2 linked regions of the Notamacropus eugenii genome follow. The protein of the gene in region 1 interacts with the protein of each later gene in a biochemical or structural test. Links are inferred from orthologs where the notes say so. Each region holds a gene or a part of one and is shown on either strand. Other genes may lie near its edges.

Region 1 (10,043 bases):
TCAATGCCTCGTACAGGACCTAGTAAAGTGAAAATATGTTAAAGGAGTTACAAATATCTACCCTCCAGGGAAATCCCTATTCATTAATACATAGTCCCATCTAAACCATTACCTTTTTCCAATCCTATTTAATCCCAAAGAATTTAAATTCAAGTGATTTTTTGATTATGAGTGACAACAGACAGACAGTCACAAGTACTACACTGGAGTAAATGAACCAGAGGAAGGCCTCTAATGCATTGGAAAGATTCTCTACAGACTTTACAGGAAAACATGGTCAAGAATTATAAAGGTTAAGAGGGTTAAGATGGGCCCAGATTTATGCTGGTAGATGGAGTGACAATAATGAGAACTGACATTTAAATAATACTTTAAGATTTTAAAGTAATTCACTTACATTATTTCATTTGATCACAACAAGTCTGCAAGGTAGATTAGGTACATTTTCCCCATTTTTAGATGGGAAAATTAAGGTTCAGGGTTAAATGACTTGCCTACCATCACACAGATAAATAGTGCCATAGGTAACATCTGAAGACAGGTTTTACCTGTGACTCCAAGTCCAGTTCTTTTTCTGTTATACCATGGTGCCTCTCAAATTACCCAAAGTAAAGAAGTCACAGATCCACTGAAATTTCGAAGTTGGATGCTACAATCATTCTTATATGTAATCTTTTTTGTGTCCTGGACTCTTTTTGCAGTCTGGTGAAACCTATTAACCCCTCTCAGTGTCATTTTTAAAGGAATGAAATCAGATCCACAGGATTACAAAGGAAATGAATTACATTAAAATACACATATTGAAATATTTTCTTAAAAAGGTCTATGGACTCCAGATTAAAACCACCTCCTCTGGAACTCATTCTCTTACCATCATGCTCATCAAATTTGTCAATGAGGGTACACATTCGGTAATCCCACAGTTGGATGACTCCATTGTGAAGACTAGTCAAGATCCAGGGTCGTTTGGGGTGAAAGCTGAGTCCTGGGAAGAATGATATAGCGAACCACAATGAGACAGGCTCAATGCCTCAAGCTCCTAACAATTCAGACACGAAAAGAAGTCATTTGATCTTCAAATTTCATGTTAACTTACTCTGGCCAATCAGATGAAGAGAACCTCTTCTCACTCAGAAAATGAAACCTCTAAATTCCTTATAGAAAGAAATCAATGCATCTCAGAATCCTAGAATTTCAAATTTGGAATGTACCTCAGAGGTCATCTAATCCAACACCTACTTCACCTAGAATCACTTCTATAATAGCCCCAAGTGATCATTCAGCCTTGAAGACCTCTAGGGATGGGAAATCCATTTCTAAGGCAACTCATTTCACTTTTTGTTACCTCTAATTGTTTTGAAATGTTTCCTTATGTCAAGTCAGTTTGCCTCTCTGAAATATCTACCTGTTGATTCTAGTTTTGTCGTGTGAGATCAAAGACACAGCTATTAAGATATTTGAAGTAGTTATTGAGCCCTCCCTAAATCTTCTCTTCTTCAGAAGTCCTCAGTTCTTGCAACTGGTCATCGTGAAGTCCTTCATCTCCTCTGGATGATGTACAGCTTATAAATGTCCTTCTTAAAATGTAGTGTCCAAAAAAAGAATACCTCTAGATGTGATCCAAGCATGTCATGGCACAGCAGGATTATCACCTTTGTTCTGTATATTATATCTCTAAACGTTGCCTAAAATACCAATAGTTTTTAAGCCACAATATCACACCATTAACTCACACTGAGTTTGCAATTCATTAAACACTCAAGATCTTAATTAGGAGAACTGTTGACTAGCCATGCTTTTTCTCCATCTTTAACTTGTAATGGTGATTTTTTGAACTGAAGTAATGGACTTTATATTTTTCTTATACAAGTTAGTTATGATAGATTTCAGTCCAATATTCCAGACTGTTAATACTTTTTTGGATAGTGATGTCAATTTGAACTCATTTGACATACTTGTGAGGAATTTTTAAGGAAATATAAGTTACATCTTTTATAATGTAGTTGCATTATGAAAAGGTTTGAAAGTTACTGACAGACTAATGTTTCTTGTGTGATACATCCCGTAATCAATACACCAATAAGCATTTATCAAGTGCTTGCACTATCCTAAGTACTGGGGATATAAATATAAAATAAGACAATCCTTGTCCTCAAGAAACTTTCATTTTAATAGGGGAAGCAATATATTGACAGAGAAGTAACTACAGCATATACACAAAATAAATACAAAGTGATGGAGGGGAGGGAGCAGATACTTAGAATAGGGGAATCAGGAAAGATTTATTGAACGAATGGTTATCTGAGCTGAACCTTGAAGGGAGCCATGGGTTCCATTAATGGAAGTGAGGAGAATGAAAAATTCTAGTCAAGGGGAGAGCCAACAAAAGATACAGAGACGAGAGATACAACACTATGTACCAAGAACAGCAAGTCTAGAGTACAGAATGTATTGTAATAGATGGGAGAGGATAAGCGATTAGCTATTATCTCTCTTTATTCCACCTTTCTTCAGAGAAGTCAAAATTTAGCTATATTTTAATTCTCATTTATTCAGAAACTAAGGCTTTTGGGGAACAGATGGCTTGCTTATGGTCATATGTAACAGTTGAACACTTTGGACATGGGATTTCTACCTACAATTCCTTCTCTAGAAGTCATAATTGTAACCAAGGGCTTCTGTACTAATGCTACAAAAGTTCTTGTAACAGTTATTTGTTCAAACTACTAACTCCTTGTCACTTAAGGTCATAGAAAAACCTTAAATGTACGTTATGATAATCAAGATCTTCATAAGAACCTGATAAACTCGGAATGACCCTTTATAATTCCACTGCTTACTAAACCTAAAAGATGGGATTTGACTTTTAGTATCCTTATAGAGTTTACTCCCCTACCTTTTCCTTCCTCTTCAGATTTTATTGAGAAATCCCTGACAGAGTCCTGGGAAGCATACCCTTCTCTTCTCATCTCCTCACCTGGTCAGTCAAAAACCTTCAGGTTTTAGAGTACAGACATAAAGGAGGTGAGGAGAGGTGAGGGAAAGGAATAAGCATTTATATAGTGCCAACTACATGCCAGGCACTGTGCTAAGTGCTTTTTACAAATATTATCTCATTTGATCCTTACCACAACCCTTTGAGGTGTTACTGTTGTCGCTATTATGCAGATGAGAAAACTGAGGCAATCAGAGGTTGAATGACTTGCCCAGAGTAACACAGCTAGCAAGTGTCTGAGGTCAAATTTGAACTCAGGTCTTTTCTGATTTCAGTCCCAGGGCTCTATCTATTGCACCATCAACTGCCTCTACAAGGTAGAGGAACAAGATAGTCTGGCGACAGAAGAAATTGATGAAAATCAATGGGATGGGAATATTGCAGCTTCTAAAGTAGAAGTAATTAGTCCTTTTCTCGCAAAAGTTACCTAACAGAAACAGGTAGGTGGGAACAGGATCAGAATTCAGAACCCAAGAACTATACCCATAATACTTAATTTTGATACATTAAATAGAGCCTTGACAGCTAGAGAAAGACCAGGAGCTGGTAAACCCTTAGCAACATTATCCTGTCCATCCTTTCACCTTTTCAGAGAAATCAAAAGGATAAAACAATGACAACCCTCATTCACAGCCCAGGAAAGACTAGGGAGGGGAATGGGACTGTGTGTGTACCCAAGGTGATTGGGGATGGTGGGGAGTGAGGGGTCTGGGGAAGGTACATAGATAGGTCTATCAATGAACCAACCTACTGAGGTTGCAAGAAGGGCCTATCTATTATGGGATAGTGCTGGGCATGGGGGTATAGAAAAAACATTATACGGCAGTCTGTGCACTTGAGGAGCTTACCTTCCAGTACACTGGGACGTGATCACAGTTAAATAAGTAAGAAATACGAATTTCCCCCCTCACCCCATACATTTGTGTCGGGGAAGGCGTTCTGGATAGCGAAGGTACCCGGGAATGGGGGAGGGGAGAAAGACGGGGAAACGTAATAAAAGGGGTCAGATCTGAAAGAGCGAATGGGGGGAAAACCCAGGGATCACCAAAGTCCCTCTCCTTCCAGGCAGGCTCCGACCCGATCCCCTCAGGCCCCAGATTTCGGATCGCTTTTCCTCCCCTCCCCCCACCCCCCCAGGGCGAAGGCACTCCCTCAGGCGCCACACCCCGGGTCCCTCGGCTTCCCCTTCCTCCCCACCTTTGACTCGCGCACTCTTGGTCTCGAATTTGGTCAGCATCTTTGTCCGCCCTAGTCCAGGCCCCGGCTTCGGTTCCGGCCGCGGCCCGAAGCGCAGCCCGACTGGCCCGGGTCCCCTCCACGTCAGCACCGCCCCGCAGCCGCAGCCGCAGCCGGAAGCGCCCTACGCCTAACGCACTTCCGCCTGAAGGCCACAGAGACTGGCAGGGGAGCGGCCTAGAGAGGCCTCTGTCAGGCTGGAGGGGGCAGGAGGCGGAAGCGGCCCGGAGAGGCAAGATGGCCACTGCTGGGGGCGGCGGAGGAGCCGCCTCTGGGGGCCGGCGAACCTGCCTCCTCTTTTGCTTCGTTCCTTTGCTGGCAGGTGAGCCCTCCCCACCCCCCCGGAGCCGCGAGGGCCTCTTTGCGAGAACTTCCTTTACTCCGAAACCGCCCAGGCGCCCTTGGGTCCTCCGTCCCGCCGATTCGCAAACCCCCCTACTCGGCGTTCCCCCGACACAAGTTCCGCGCTTCTCGAGGATTTAAAGCCCCCGTTCTGCCCCCAGCCCGGAGGAGCTGCTGTCCGAGGCCCCCGCCTTCCCGCTGGGCTTCTTGGAGGCCCCCGGGCGGTGGGAGTCTGGGATCAGGCTCGTTCCCATCCCTGTACCTCAGTTTCTCCTCTCTGCCAAACAGACGGAGACGGACTCTTGGCCGCTTTGGCTCTTCCGAGCTACGAGGAGAAGTTTCCCTGGCCCTGAAGCTTTGGGGGGCGGGGGGCGGGGCTGCAGCTGGGGTTTGCTTTTCCTGTGCCTCTCGTGTGGGGGGGGGGGGGCTCCCTCTCTCCAGCTACCTCCGTGCCCTCCCCAGCCCCAAGGTGGTAGCCTTGGTCCTTCAGGATCTCCCTCCCGTGACTGTAGTGGGTGAACTTGTAAGAGCTGCGTCTGACAGTGGCGTGTGTAGACCGGGTTTCCTCCCTTTCCACCTCATTTCTTGGGAATACAGAGAAAGACTTTGAATCCAGGCACTGCTCTGGAGCTCGCACTCTTTACAATTAATCAGTAATCCACACATAGGGCTTCCTTTGACCACATTTTCTCTTATCTGGGAACTAGTGTGATTGCGCTACCGTGGTTAGTAAGAAACTTGGATTTCTCTAGTGTTTGGGGGGAGGGGTGGAAGGAGCGTGCTCCTTCCTGTGTCCTAATGGACATATTGAGTGAAGATAATATGCATTATGTTCATTTAACAGACCACGAAACTGAGCCCAGAGAGGCTGAGTGATTTGCTTAACGTAAGGAGATAGATAGGTTAAAGGCACGGCTAAAACTAGAACCCAAGTTTCCCAACCCAGAATTTTTCCTGCTGACATATGCCAGTCTCATGCCACCTCCTTGCTGAGAAGATGAGTAAGGGAACTATGCCCCTTTTATTTTTAAAACTTCTTTCTTACACCTGTTGCTTTCTCTTCAGGTCTGTGCCAAACAAATTCAGTGGAGAGGAAGATCTACATCCCCTTGAACAGAACGGCTCCCTGTGTCCGCCTGCTCAATGCCACTCACCAGATTGGCTGCCAGTGTAAGTTGGCAATTAGTGCTTTAGTGCTCCGGGAATTCCAGAGCCTGTATTAGGTAGACTGCAAGTTAATTGGGGGTAGCAGAACACAGTCAGAATAGGGAAGAAGGGAAATCAGTGGGATTACATCTGACTGTTACATTGATCTTTTCAAAAAATAAATTTACTAATACATTTTTTGATTGGTTGGTTTTTTTGGAGGCAATTGAGGTTAAGTGACTTGCCGAGGGTCACACAGCTAGAATCTGAGGCTGGATTTGAACCTAGGTCCTTCTGATTCCATACATTTTGTTTTGACACAGCAAATCCTTCCCAACAAATAGCTAAACAAACCCCTTTACAAAGTACATCCCCCTACAGGTTATTGATTTTTTTAAAAACAGAATTGTCTTAACTTTGTCTAGTGCTGATGATCATTGTTTTTGACCAGTCCTTTGTTACCTCTCTATACTGATCTTAATGACATTGTCATTAGATAGAGATAATCTATATCTATATGGATTATCTATATAGATAATCCATATCTATGTATTGATATCTATCTTTTTTGCCCTTCTGTATCTGTATATTGATATCTACCTTTCTTTTACTTCTGATTTACTTCATATGTCTTCCCACGTTTCTCCAAATTCTTTACATTTGTCGTTCTTTACGGCTCAGTAACATTAAATTCGAGTATAATTTATTCACCTAGTTCTATGGTCGTTGGGCATGTATTTTGTTTCTCACTCTCTGTTATTACAAATAATCTTGTAAATTAAAAAAATATATATATATATATGTCTTTTTTTGCTTTTGATAAGCTCCTTGAGATGTAGGTCAAATTAAATCTCTTGAGTCAAAGGGAATGAACAATTTAATAAGTTCTTATGTGATTCCAAACTTTTCTAGAATGGTTGAACCAAGCCATAACTCCATTATCAGTTAATTATCTTTCTTGTTTTCCTGTAACTATTCCAGGGATAGGTTTTCTCCTCCTTTAACATCTTTGCCACTTGGTGGTTATATACTTGAGGATTATCCTAATTTCTCTTTTCTTCTGATTATTAATGACCCTCTGCATTTCCAAGTGGTGATAAGTAGCTTGTATTTCTTCTTTTGAAAACAGTTCGTGTCTGCTGTGTGTAAGTGTGGTCCAGTGGAAAGAGCAGTGGCTCAGAAATAGAAGACTTGGATTCAAATCCCACCTCTGATGCTTGCTCTGTTTTTGATTTTGAACAAGTCATTTAACCTGCTTGAGCCTCAGTTTCCTCAACTGTAAAATAACTTGGGACAAAAATGGAAGCTTCTTCATTGGAGTAATGGTCTTGCTTGTATTTATATTTCAAGAGCTTACAAAGTACCTGGCACATAGTTAGCACTTGATAAATGCTGTAAATAGATGGTCTCTGAATTTCCTTTCAAGTCAGGATCTGTGATCTTTTGACTATTTCTCTATTGTACAGTGATATTCTTAGAGTCTGAGGTGGACTTCTGAGAAGCAGTGAATTGTTTGATAATGAAGAAACTCTGAGAATGCTAATGAGTTGTCATCCATGGGAATGACATTCAATGAAATCATGAAACTCTTCTTATCAGAAGGAGAGATGAAGCAGGAGGTGGTGCTAAGAAGCTTCACATAAAAGAATATCACAGAGGAGAGAATGGGGTGATTGACTCCCTGTGGTTGGTGGTCCATGATTTGATTTTTATTCCATCAGCAGCACCTATTTCTGGACATCAAATTTCCTTTTGAAATAGGAAGTTAGACTAGTACAGAGAGTCTAGTATGAAACTCTTTCTACCATACTGTGTGACCTTGAACAAATTATTTCACTTCTCTGAGATGTGGGTTCTTTTCTTTCCATAAAAAATGATGAAATATTCCTTCTTTCTTTTCTTTCAGTGGAGGATTTGAGGTTCAGTGAGAGTATTTCTTTAAACTCATAAAGATAAGCTTAGTCTTTGTAGATTGTAATGAATAGGTATTTTGGTTTCAGCAGCTATTTGCTGTGAAATAAAGCATCTGGGATAGTTAGGGATACCATGTCACCATGATGAAGAGAACTGTTCAAATGGGTGGAATGGTTCTGAGAGCCCTGGATTACTAGTGTGTTATCTCCCCATTATCAGCCTGTCCTGTCTTTAGTCAAGTAGTTGATGTTTTGTTGCATGACTGCAGTAGCTACTTCCTGGCTGGGTTAGCTAGTTCTAGACAGACCCTTAAGTTATAGGATCATTGCTGGAAATATACCCAACATGGAATGAGGGATAGTGGATCTGTTATGGTCTCTAACTGCAGTTTCAGTTCCAACCTTAAGTATAGGGGCTTGAACCCCATTCTCCTGGAACCAGGTTCTGACAGTGCTTGTCTTTTAAACCCTTTTTGGCAGTGACTCATCCATCATGCTACCTATGTTTACCACAGCCTTGTAGAATGTATGATCTTATAAGCAAAGCTGAGCATTGGAAAGAGGAGGAGCAAGACTCAGGCTATTTCCTCATTAGAAACCTGTTTCCTTTTCAATCTGGCTAGGTCTAAGTTTCCCTCTTCAGGTTCATCCACCTCTGAACAAGGCTACACCTTCTTTAATTGGGATTGCTAACATGATAATCCTCTGGGGAAATAGTGAGGCACAGTATTGGTTTACTGATAACAATATCCCATGTTTATTGGACTCCTTTCCCTAGGGAGCTCAAAGGCTTGTGCAGGTTCCTTTTTCATACAGTCTGTCTCTTCCTGGGGAGAGGGTTAGGGAGCAGCTCAGCCGATTGCCATTTTTGCCCAGAGAGATTAAGCAACTTGTTTAAAGTCATAGAGTGAACCAGGGATGCTCCCCAGACTAGAATCTAGGTTTCCTATCATTTTTCTTTTCTCCAAGCCTCATTAAAGCAGGAGTTACTAATCTTTCATAGCCACTATCCCTTTTTCTCCCCGTAGGTTACATATAGTACAATTAGAGAGATCTACAGGTCATACTCAACTAGAAATAGATCATAGTTTACGTACTGACTTAGGAAACCACAAATTAACATTATCTATGTTGTATTGTTTTTTCATTTATTTTGTTAAAAATGTCCCAATTACATTTAAATCTATTTTGCAGCACTCCTTGGTTTTGCAGGCCAAATGGGGTCCAAGTTTGTCTTCTCTTGTCTACAGTGTACTTCAAATCTTTGTAAAAGTTATTTCAAACTTGGAGCTTTTTCCAAGTGTTTGTCACCTGTGGCCATTATTTCCCATGCAATACCTTTCCTCCATGTCCAGCTGTTCTTTCAGGGTCCCAATCTAGTTTCTAGAAGAGAGAAGCTAACAATGTATGAAACTGCATGAGAACTTGTGGTTTTGTCCTGTGTGGTTCTGTTTCCTTATAGATGTGGGAGTTTCACTGCATACTGGCCCAGTGAAATAGGGTAAACGGAATAAATTCTAGGGTCTTTATTTTTTCCATCTGGTTCCTGCAGCTTCCATTAGTGGGGACACAGGAGTGATCCATGTAGTGGAAGAGGAGGAAGATCTGAAGTGGGTCCTAACCAATGGCCCAAACCCCCCCTATATGGTACTGCTGGAAGGCAAGCTTTTTACCAGGTAAGGTTCTGGCTGTATATGCCTGGAAAAGGTGAGCAATCAGAGGAAAATAGGAGCTTTCTCCCAGCTTTAAAAAATGGGTACTATCCTTGACTTTCCTCATACTGTCTTCTTTTGAAAATGGTACAGATTTAAAGAGAACATTTTCAGTGATCCTGAAACCAGATCTGTCATCTGACTGGGTACTGTTTGAGTAGAGGGGTAGCAACCAGCATTATCTGTAATTTGGAAAATCTGGGATTAGGGTTAGAGTCAGGAATCCTGTAACAGGGCTAAATGAGGAAAAACATGACTTAACTCTCCAGTCAGATATTTTTCCCTTCCTATGGGGAGAGAAGTAAGAGTGTTGGACTGCCTGACACTTTCTTCTTTCCTCCTCCCTTAGCCCAATATTTCTTCTTGTTCTAGGAAGCTGATGGAAAAGCTGAAGGGTACTCAGCGAATCTCTGGTCTTGCTGTGGCTCTCGCCAAGCCCAGTCCTGTAGATGGTTTCTCTCCCAGCGTTGAATGCCCTAATGATGGGTTTGGTAAGAACCCCAAAGAGCCAGGAACCATCACCCATGGCTTATTGTTTGAATGCCATTAACTAGGTCATCTATTGCCCCCCAAGAGGATCATTAAAGTGAATGCATATAAATATGTGTTTATATGATTATGGCCTGTTGTGACAAATGTGGTGTGCTAGATTTGTGTATGTGTGTTCACCTAAATAACCAACTAACTACTCTGTAAAAG
Region 2 (9,755 bases), on another chromosome or scaffold:
CATTCATGAAATAGGTTCATCTGCTGACTTTGGATTTTCTAGGATTACTGAAGTGCAGTGGTCTGGCTCAAACCTAGACAGGTCTTTTCCCTTCTCTGTGTCTTAGTATCTTCCTGTGTAAAGTGAGAAGGCTGGAATAGGGTTCTCCACCTGGAGGAGGCAACCACAATGCATTAATAGCTTCTATGGGAAAATGTAATCCAAGCCCCAGACTGATTTACCAACGAATTTCTGAGATGTGATCTGTTTGCTTTTTAAAGCTGATTAAAGACAAACCCCAAAGGCCAAGAGACCAAACTCTGGGGAGGGAAATATGGGGGTGTGGGGCTCCAAGATAAAATACAACCTCATCAGCCTGGCATTTAAAGCCCTTCCCCAGCTGGCACTGGCCTTCCTTTCCAGCCTTACTGAATAGAACTCCCCTTCAAGTTTCCAACACTATGTTCCAGCCAGACCTCCAGGCATCCCACCTCTGGCCTCCTCAGTCTGCCTCTCAGACCTTCAATGTGCTGCCTGCCTCCTGATCTTTGCCTCTTACAGTCCTTAGCTTCCTTAAATGCTCAACTCATGTCCCAGCTCCTTGACTCATCTGTTGATTTGCCTTAATGACAATTTCATTCTTCAAAACCAAAGGGGAAATTCTGTTCTAGTTCTGATACTCATTAATAAGGAGGCACGAGTTGCTGGGATGGAAAGGATGGGAACCTTACAGGAAAGGGACCACCCCATCCTAGAGTTTGTGATGGAGGAGAGGAAATTTGAGCACCATCTGACATGGAGTTACCCTCAATTTTAGGAAAGCAGATTTCAAAGATCTCAGAGGAGAGATGAATAGGATCTCAGGGAAGTGGGCTCAGGAGAGAAGGGAGATGCTCATGAATGAAATCCTGAAGACACTAAACGAAGGGAAACAACTTCATTGAGGAGGAAAAATGGCATTTGTCTGAAGAAACCAATGTGGATACATAGGGAACTCACCAACCAACTTAGCTTCTACAATAAAAGAAGAAAAAATGGGAGCAAAGCCAAGTAATGAGGATGAGAATGAGAGCATAGGTGAGTTCTGTAACAATGTTAAAGTTCAGAATGACCCAAGAATGGCAAGGGAATCGAGGAAATGATCACTTGGAGAGCATGGGGTGCTCAACTGCTCTTTTTTGCTTTCTTCTGCTAAGAAGAAATGACTGAACATAAACGACCAAAAAGCAGATCAGTAAGGAGTAAATGAGAGCGAACCCAAGGCACCCAGCCCAGAAGAGCCACACCCTCTGGTCCTCAAAGAGCGGGCACTGTCTGCCATGGCTGAGCATGGAGAGGGAATGGGAGAATAGAAAATGCTGGTTGTCCCAAGTTGTAAGAAAGAGAACAGACCAAAGCCTGCAAACTAGAAGAGTGAGCCTGACCTCAATTCCTGAGAAAACCCTAGAAATGATCATTATAGAGCTAGCTGGCAAACATTTATTTAGAAAAGGAAGTAGGGATTACAAAGAGCCAGCACGGCTTTGATTAACGTGGGATTAATCCCACTTTCCTTTCTGACAGGGTCTCTAGTGAATAAGGGAAAGGCAACGGATAGAGTTTATGCAGATTTTAGCAAAGCTTTTGATAAAATTTCTCTTACCACTTTTGTGGAAAAGCTATGCATTGAAAATAACACATTAAATGGATTCAGCAGGGGCTGCCAGTGATTCTGCGTCAGCACGGCAGAAGGAGCCCTGAGTCTTATCAATGATCAATGGTGTGGATAAATGACTAAGTGGCAGGTTCATCCAGTCTGCAAATGACACCCAGCTTGGAAGAAGCTGGCACTTCCGATGACAAGTAGGATTCAAAAGGATTTCAACAGGCTGGAGCACTGAGCTGAATCTAATAAGATTCACTGAAACAAATGGGAAACCTGCATGTGGGCACAAAAATTCAGCTTCATGAACATAAGATGGGGAAGCACAGAGAAAAAGCAGCTGATCTGAAAAAGATCTGGGTGTTTAAGTGGATCACTAGCTCTACAGGAGCTAGCAGTGTGCTGTGGAAGCCAAAAGAAGCCAGGATAATCTGGGCTGCCTTAAGAGGGGCATAGTTTTGATCTCATCAGACTTCATCTGGAGTACTATATCCAATTAGGGGGCAACCAGGATGGTGTAGAGCCTTGGATCCATGTCACGGACTCTGAGGACATCATAGGGATGTCCCACAGTCAGTCTTAACTGAGATTCCACAGGGAAGTCTGCAGAGAGAAGGAACTAGGGCATGTTTAGCCCAAAGAAGAGAAGATTCAGATCATTAAGTACATAAAAGCCTGTCACGTGAAGGCAGGACGAGCGTTGTTCTAGCTGGCATCAGAGGGTAGAACTAGGAGCAATGGGCTGGAATTCTGGAGAAGCAAATTTGGGACTGAGGTCAGAAAAACATTCTCACAATGACAGCTCTCAGAAAGCAGAATGGACTGCCTGGAGCAGGGGAGGATTCCCCCTCTACTTGGAGGCTGGATCACTGCCTCTCAGGCATGTCATTGGGGAGATTCCATTCATATATAGGTTGGACAATGAGGCCTTTTCCAACTCTCAAGTTCCATGACTTCTATAGGATTTCCTACAGAAAAAGTGGATGAAGCCTCTATTTCTTCATTCAACTCAGAATGTAAGGCACCATCCTAGAGATAAAAAGTCAAAAATGAAATAGTCTTTGACCTCCCAGAACTTATTCTCAAAGATGAGGATAATGTTTCTGCTACCTACCTCACAGGGCTCCTACGAGAATCAAATCAAAATGTATGTGAAGGTTCTTTCCTTCCCCCTTTTTTAAACTGTAGAGTGTTCTGAACATGTAAATCATTACCTTTGCTATTGGGCTCCTTTGAAACTATTTCTTTCTACCTGCCACCTTTGGGAAGAATTTGGTAAATGTTCAAATGACAAACCTGTAGAAAATCCTAAATTGAAAACAGGGCTGGGGACCTGATACTTACAAGTTTGCCTTATGAAGATACCTTACTGGAGCCTGGATTTTGGAGGGCACCAAGCTTAGGTTTTCCCAAAAACTAGTCCAAGGCAACTTTTTCTTAATCATCTGTAAAACTTACCATTTAATGGATAAAAATGACCACTTCCTACCTGACACCCCTCTCATGGTAGGCTCCACCCAGTTGAGATCAAAGAGCTGTCCAAGGTAGACAATTTAGCTATTTAAAGGTCCCGTTTACTTTGGGTAGGGAAATACATAGTTGCCCTTCCACCTCCCCTCTCAGGAGGAGAGAAAGCCTTGAGTGGGGGGAAGACAGAAAACTCCAAGGTTCAGCCTTGGACCTAGAGGTCTCTTTCAGCAAGTTTACACTCATCTAAGTTTGGAGCCCTACCAGAAAATTTCTACTCTGTCTTTTGACCACACCTCCCATCCTAGCTACTGAGGCAGCCCACTCAGGTTCTTTAACAGTCCCAGATGAGGTTAATGAAGCTTGACTATCTATAGCTAGTCTTAACCAGGCTTCCCTAGAGAGGCTTGCGGAAAGACCATTAACTGGGAGGAGGGACGGCTTCTTAGCAATGAGAACCGTCCAAGGGTGGAGTTGTTTTCCTCGGCGGGTAGTGAGGTGCCCATCACTAGAGATCTCCCTGTGCAGGCCAGATGTCCCCTTGTTAAATAAAATTTGGGGGCGGGAGGAGATTCTTGACCATTCAGGTACAAGCGGGGCTGGACAATCTCTCGAGGTCTCCTTTACCTAGAGCACTTCGTCTCTGCCTTTTCTTGGCCCGGGTGAACATTTCAAAGTTTTAGTGTGTTGCCCCCGCCCCCCAGAAGAAGGCTGGATTTGGAGTCCGGGGTCCTGGCTGTGAATCTCCGTTTCCTATTTACTACCTGCTGACCTCGCGCAAATCGTTAGCGGCTCTGAAGCCTCAGTTTCTTCCACCTGTAAAACGAAGGGGTTGGCCTGGGCACCTAGGACCCTGTCTGCAGGTCCCATCGTCGTGGGTCTCCCCAGGGCTCAGCACGTAGGAGGCGCTACATGAACATTCGCTGAATTGAAGGAATTCGCTGTATCGGCCGTCCGCGCCCTCTGGGCCTCAGTTTGCCCGTCGGCAAAATGGGGCGCGAGGATTTGGACGAGATCCCTCCTAAAGGGCCCTGGCGGCTGGGCTGGGCTAGGCTAGGCTGGGCTAGGCTAGGAATCCCCGGGCCCGGCCCTGACCACGGTCTAGGCCGGGGCCGAGGAAGGAGGAAGGCGCCGCGGACCCCGGACCTCCCGCCCTGCCCTCCGTCCCGGCCCGCTGCACGCACCTTGACGCGCTGCGCCTCGTTGATGCACTGCTGGTAGCTGCCGATGTAGAAGGCGTTCTTCACGTCGAACAGCTCGTCCACTTCCCCTGGGCCGCCGGGGGCCGGGCCGGTACCGGGAGCCGGAGGGGCCATCTTGTTACCGACACGTCGACAGAGACGAGGAGGAAGTGACGCAAGCCGGCGCCCGCACGGCCCTCTGGGAATCGTAGTTCTGGCCTTGAGCGGAACTAGAAGGGGCGGGGCTGGGGAGGGGGGAGGAAGGAGGGAGGCGTGTCTGGGCGGGGACGTGGTGACGCTCCGGAACTGCGGCAGGACCGGCGCGCGGGGAGCTCTTCGGGGGCCGCTGTGGTGCTGGGGTGCAGCAGGCGTGGGTACCTGTGGGAGAGGAGCAGGAGGAGGAGAAGGAGCAGGAGCAGCAGGGGAGGACCAGCCCGCCGCCGCGGAGCCGGGGGAGCCATGGCCGCGTTCGCGGAGCTGGGGCTGGCGTCGTGGCTCGTGGCGCAGTGTAAACAGCTGGGCCTGAAGCGTCCCACGCCGGTGCAGCAGAACTGCATCCCCGCCATCCTGGAGGGTGAGCTGCCCCCCCCCGCCCCCACCGTGGCGATCGATGAGAAGACCCCGCCTCCACGCCCCACTCCCAGCGAATCTGCCTCTGAGCAAGTCGTTTTCCTCCCCTGCCTCAGTTTCCCCATCTGTAAAACGTCGATTCATAACAGCGCTTACTCTCGGGGTTGTTGGATGGATAAAATGAGACTACAGGGCGCTAGAATTGTTACCTCTTACCATCCTCCTCGCTTCCTTTCTCTCGGCTCTCCCTTCTTCCATCCCCTCTCCTCCTACCTCCCTTTCATTCCCCAGTTTCTTCCACCTCCAGCGTGCGTCAGCTTCCGTGCTCTTTCTCTGCCATCTCCCCTGCTCCCTGTAATAATAATCTGACGTTTATATAGCGCTTCCCCCGGTGATTTCATTTAAACCCTCAGTTCTCCAGCCTCCCCCGCCCATTTACCTTCCTCCTTCCCTGCTGCCTCCTTTGCCCCCCCCACAGTTCTTGCCCTTTATCCTTCTAGGTACCCTGTGGATTCTTCCTTGTGCCGAGTGCTTTCCCTCCTTTTGCTCTAGAAAGCGTCTCTTTCCCACCTCCTGATTCCTTCCCCTCTTCCCTCATGGGCTTTAGGTTTCTCCAGGCCTCTTTTATCCGAGGCAGCAGCTGGTCCTGCAAAGAGTCCTGGAGCGACAATCAGGAGACCCACCTGGCTTCTGTCCTGTGGGATGTCTGCCTGCGCTGCAGACTTCCTGGGGTGCCCTGGAAAAGTTATTTCCCCTCTGGAAGGTGGGGCGAATAACACTTGCACTACCTCACAGGGACAAAATTAGAAAAAGTATTTAAAAATCACTTGGTAAAGTGCCCTGTGTGCAAAAGGTCACAATTATTGTTGTTTTTGTTGTCTTAGGTCGAGACTGCATGGCATGTGCAAAGACTGGCAGCGGCAAGACTGCTGCCTTTGTGCTGCCAATTCTGCAGAAGTTGTCTGAAGACCCGTATGGCATTTTCTGTCTTGTGCTAACGCCCACCAGGTATGGCCATGTTCACCTTTCCAGTGAGGTAACATTTACTGTAAATTAAAATCTGTTACTCTTTTTCCATACGTCCACTGTGAGTATTGTAACAAAGGGTATCATGCACGATGGGGAAAAAGCCTTGGAGAAATGGGATCCAGATCTAGATCTAGCACCTTTTAGCTGTCTGAGGTCAGACAAGACTACAGTTGTTCAGTCATTTCAGGTGTATCTGACTCTCCATGACCTCATTGGGGTTTTCTTGACAAAGGTGCTGGAGTGGTTTGCCACTTCCTTCTCCAGCTCATTTTACAGAGGAGGAAACTGAAACAAACAAGGTTAAGTGACTTGCTCAGGATCATACAACCAGTAACTGTGTTGGAGGCTAGATTTGAATTCAGATCCTCCTGACTCCATGCCCAGTGCTCTATACCCACTGTACCCCTAGCTGCCCTGCAATAGAGCTATACAATGCAGCAAATATTTGCACTGTTCTAGGACTGGAGGAGATGCAGTATTAGATTATCTCTGCTCTAATGTCTTCCCCCAATTGATCATCTCTGCTTTATACAGTCTGTATTCTGTTTGTACATCGTTGTGGGCATGTTGCCTCCCCCATGAGACTGCGCTCCCTGAGGGCAGGAACGGTTTTTTGTCTTTCTTTGTATCTCTTGTGCCTGGCACAGAGTAGGCACTTAATAAATGCTTATCGACTTACTGGATTTTATATTCTAGCTAGGGGAGGAGACATGTGCACAGATAACTATAACACACAGTATATATGACTGGGCTGTATGAGTTCTGATGGGTGTAAGGTTGTTAACAATTGAGTAGAGTGGCTATCAGGAACAGTTTCCTGGAGGATGTTGTATTTGAGGTGAGCTTTAAAGGATGGGTAAGAAATTAGCAGACAAAGGGAGAACAGGCATAGGGATAGGAAGCAACTGAAGTAAAGACAGGGAGGGTTGAAACTGTGATGTGTGTTTGGAGGGCAAAGAATTGTTCATTTTGGCTCTGGCAGAGGTTTCATTGAGGGGAGTAAATTGAGATAGGACTAGAGAGGGTGGTAGGTGCCAGATTAAGGAAGGCAGCCTCCTTCATCTGCTCTCTGCTTTACTCAGACTGCCGTGTTGGCTGTTCCTTAAACCCCTCTGTACTTTTACACAAGCAGTTCTTCATTTCTGGAACATACTCCCTCTCTCCCCTTTCTCCTCACAGAATCCCTAGACATAGCTCAGACATCACTTCTGAAACAAGGGCTTTCTTTTCCCTCCATTATTAGAACTCTCTCTCTTGATGGAACTTAGTGTTACGTTATGTATTAATTAGTTAATAGATATTTCTTAAATAAATGGGGCAGCTAGGTGGCTCAGTAGATAGAGTGCCAGGCCTGGAGTCAGTAAGACTCATCTTCCCAAGTTCAAATCCAGTCTCAGACACCTACTAGCTGTGTGACCCTGAGCAAGTCACTTAAACTATTAAAATGAGCTGGAGAAGGAAATGGCAAACTACTCTACTATCTTTGCCAAGAAAATTCCAAATGGGGTCACAGAGAGTCGGACACAGCTGAAAAGCCAACTAAACATTAAGTGTCTACTGTGTGCCAAGCACTGTTCTAGGGATAAAAAAATACAGTGGTTAAAATAAGCTCTGCTTCATAAAGAGCTAAGGTAATGCAGAATATAAAGAAGATAGATGTAGACTTATTCTTTACAAGGCAGTTTGCCAGGGAGGCTTCTGTCAGTTGTGTAGGGTAGGAAAGGCTTCATGTAGAAGGTGGCACTTGAACTGTCTTGATGCAAGAGAGGACATCTCTGAAGTGAAGATGTAGGGGATTGCGTTTCAGGCACAGGCGACAGGACATTGAGTTTCATGTGTAAGCAACAGAAAAGCGGTGTGGCTGCTGTAGAGTTTGGGAGGGAGAGTCACACCTGGTGAGGATGGAAAGACTAGGGCAAGATTGTGAAGGGCGTAAAAAGTGACTTTAAAGAAGGCGTTTATTTTATTCCAAAAGCATAGGAAGCTATTGTAGTTGATTGAGAGGAGGAGGGAGATGTGGTCAGATATGCACTTAGCCAGTGTGTAGCATGGATTAAAATGAGGAGAGGCTTGAGGCAGGGAGACCAGTTAGCAGACCATTAGTTTTTAGGCAATAACACAGGCATGAGGTGAGGAGGGCCTGAATGAAGGTCGTAGCTGTGCGAGTAGAGAGGAGAGGAACATTGTGGAGGCAGACACAGAAGATTTGGCAACTAATTGGATCTGTGAGGTCAGGGAGAATGAGTAGTCAGAGAAAGCACTGAGATTATGAACCTAGAAGACAGGAAGAATGATGGTGCCTTTGACAGAAATGGGAAAGCTTTGGAGGGGAAATAGGAGTCTTGTTTTGGACATGTTGTGTTTGAGATGTCTTTACGATGTCCAGGCTGAAATAGGCAGGTGGTGATACAAAACTGAAGCATGGAGTGACAGGTGAACCCATGAGAGTTGAAGCCACCAAGGGAGGAGGCAGACAAGCATTTGTAAGTGCCTACAGTGTGCCAGGCTTTGTGCTGAGTGCTTTACAGATGTCTCCCTGGGAGGTAGGGGCTATTATCATCCCCATTTTATGATTAAGAAAACTGAAGTAAGCAGAGGTTAAATGACTTATCCAGGGACACACTGCTATTAGACATATGAGACTGACTTGAACTCACTCTTACTGATTCTAGGCCCGGCATCACCTAGCTACTGAGAGTAGGAATGGGCCTAAGCCAGATTCAAATCCCACTTCTCATGTTCATGACCATTCATGACCTTGGGTAAGTTTTGTAGCCTTCCTCATCTGCCAATGGAGGGGGTTGGACTGGATAGCTCCTGAGGTCCCTTTCAGCTTTAAATCTGTTTTCCTGTTATGGAATTTTAGGGAACTCTTATAGTTAGAGGGTGTGATATGGATGAGGAGCCCCCTAAGGAGACAGAGGAATGATTAACAGGTGTGAGGAAAACCAGGAGGGAATATCCAGGAGAAAAGGGAGGTCATGTTAGATACAGCAGATAGTTTGAGAAGAATGAGGACTGCAAACATCGAATTTGGCAAGTAAGAGGCCCATTGGTAACTTTGGAGAGATCATTTGTGTGATGGTATTTAATGTATATTTACTTGTGCATTGGTATCAGTCTATCAACAAACATTGAATAAACCCTTTCTGTATGTTCTAGGCATAGAGGTAAGAAAGACAAAAATTAAACATTCCCTGCCCTCAGCGAGCTCACAGTCTCTGAGAATGAGAACTGGAGAAACCATATGCATATCAATCAATGCATACAAAACGAAAACAAGATTCCATTTTTTTGGTGGTTGTTGGAGAAGGAGAGGCATAAGCAGATGCTGGGGTCAGCAAAGGCCTGATGTAGGCGGGAGCTCTTGAGCTGAGTTTTGAAGGAAATTGGAAATGGATAAGACATGGGAGACTGCCTGTGCACAAGCCTAGAGAGAGAGGGGAGTTTTTAATTCGAGGAATGGTGGGAAAGCCAGTTTGGCTAAACTGCAGTGTCTTCAGACTGGAAAGGTAGTTGGAAACCAAGATATAAAAGAACCTTCACTGTAAAACGGAGGAGTTTGTCTTGATCCAAAGGTCCTAAGAAGCCATTGGGACTCTGAATCCTGAGAACGACCTGGTCAGACTCATGAATTGGGAAGAGATGTTACTCAGGGAATCTTGAAGGAGAGGCGAGGTGAGCCTGAGCATTGTGGGGGTCAGTTGGACAGACTTGGCAGTTGATCAGATATGGATTAAATAGATCATGAGGAGTTAAGGATTAACTCAGATTACAAACCTAGTTAACTAGAAGGACAGTGATGCTCTTGACAGAAATAGGGAAGTTCAGAAGGGGAAAAGATTCTGTTTTGGATGTGTCAGGTTTGAGGTGCGTGTGTTACATTG

The links. The genes of interacting proteins can lie anywhere in the genome.
Region 2: the proteins of COPA (region 1) and COPE form a complex in vitro, tested with the Homo sapiens proteins (3 studies listed by BioGRID, with this or other methods). The link is inferred for Notamacropus eugenii from reciprocal best matches to the Homo sapiens genes COPA and COPE.

The regions. Positions count from the first base shown.
Region 1 is NC_092873.1:385,356,140-385,366,182, forward strand, and holds the start of COPA (coatomer subunit alpha), read right to left. Parts: upstream 4,322-10,043; 5' UTR 4,233-4,321; coding exon 4,193-4,232; intron 986-4,192; coding exon 872-985; intron 20-871; coding exon 1-19. Other genes in the region: NCSTN (nicastrin), read left to right, coding at 4,469-4,553, 5,639-5,743, 9,185-9,308, 9,717-9,835. UniProt on the Homo sapiens protein: The coatomer is a cytosolic protein complex that binds to dilysine motifs and reversibly associates with Golgi non-clathrin-coated vesicles, which further mediate biosynthetic protein transport from the ER, via the Golgi up to the trans Golgi network.
Region 2 is NC_092875.1:66,441,784-66,451,538, reverse strand, and holds the start of COPE (coatomer subunit epsilon), read right to left. Parts: upstream 4,496-9,755; 5' UTR 4,405-4,495; coding exon 4,273-4,404; intron 1-4,272. Other genes in the region: probable ATP-dependent RNA helicase DDX49, read left to right, coding at 4,729-4,843, 5,724-5,847. UniProt on the Homo sapiens protein: The coatomer is a cytosolic protein complex that binds to dilysine motifs and reversibly associates with Golgi non-clathrin-coated vesicles, which further mediate biosynthetic protein transport from the ER, via the Golgi up to the trans Golgi network.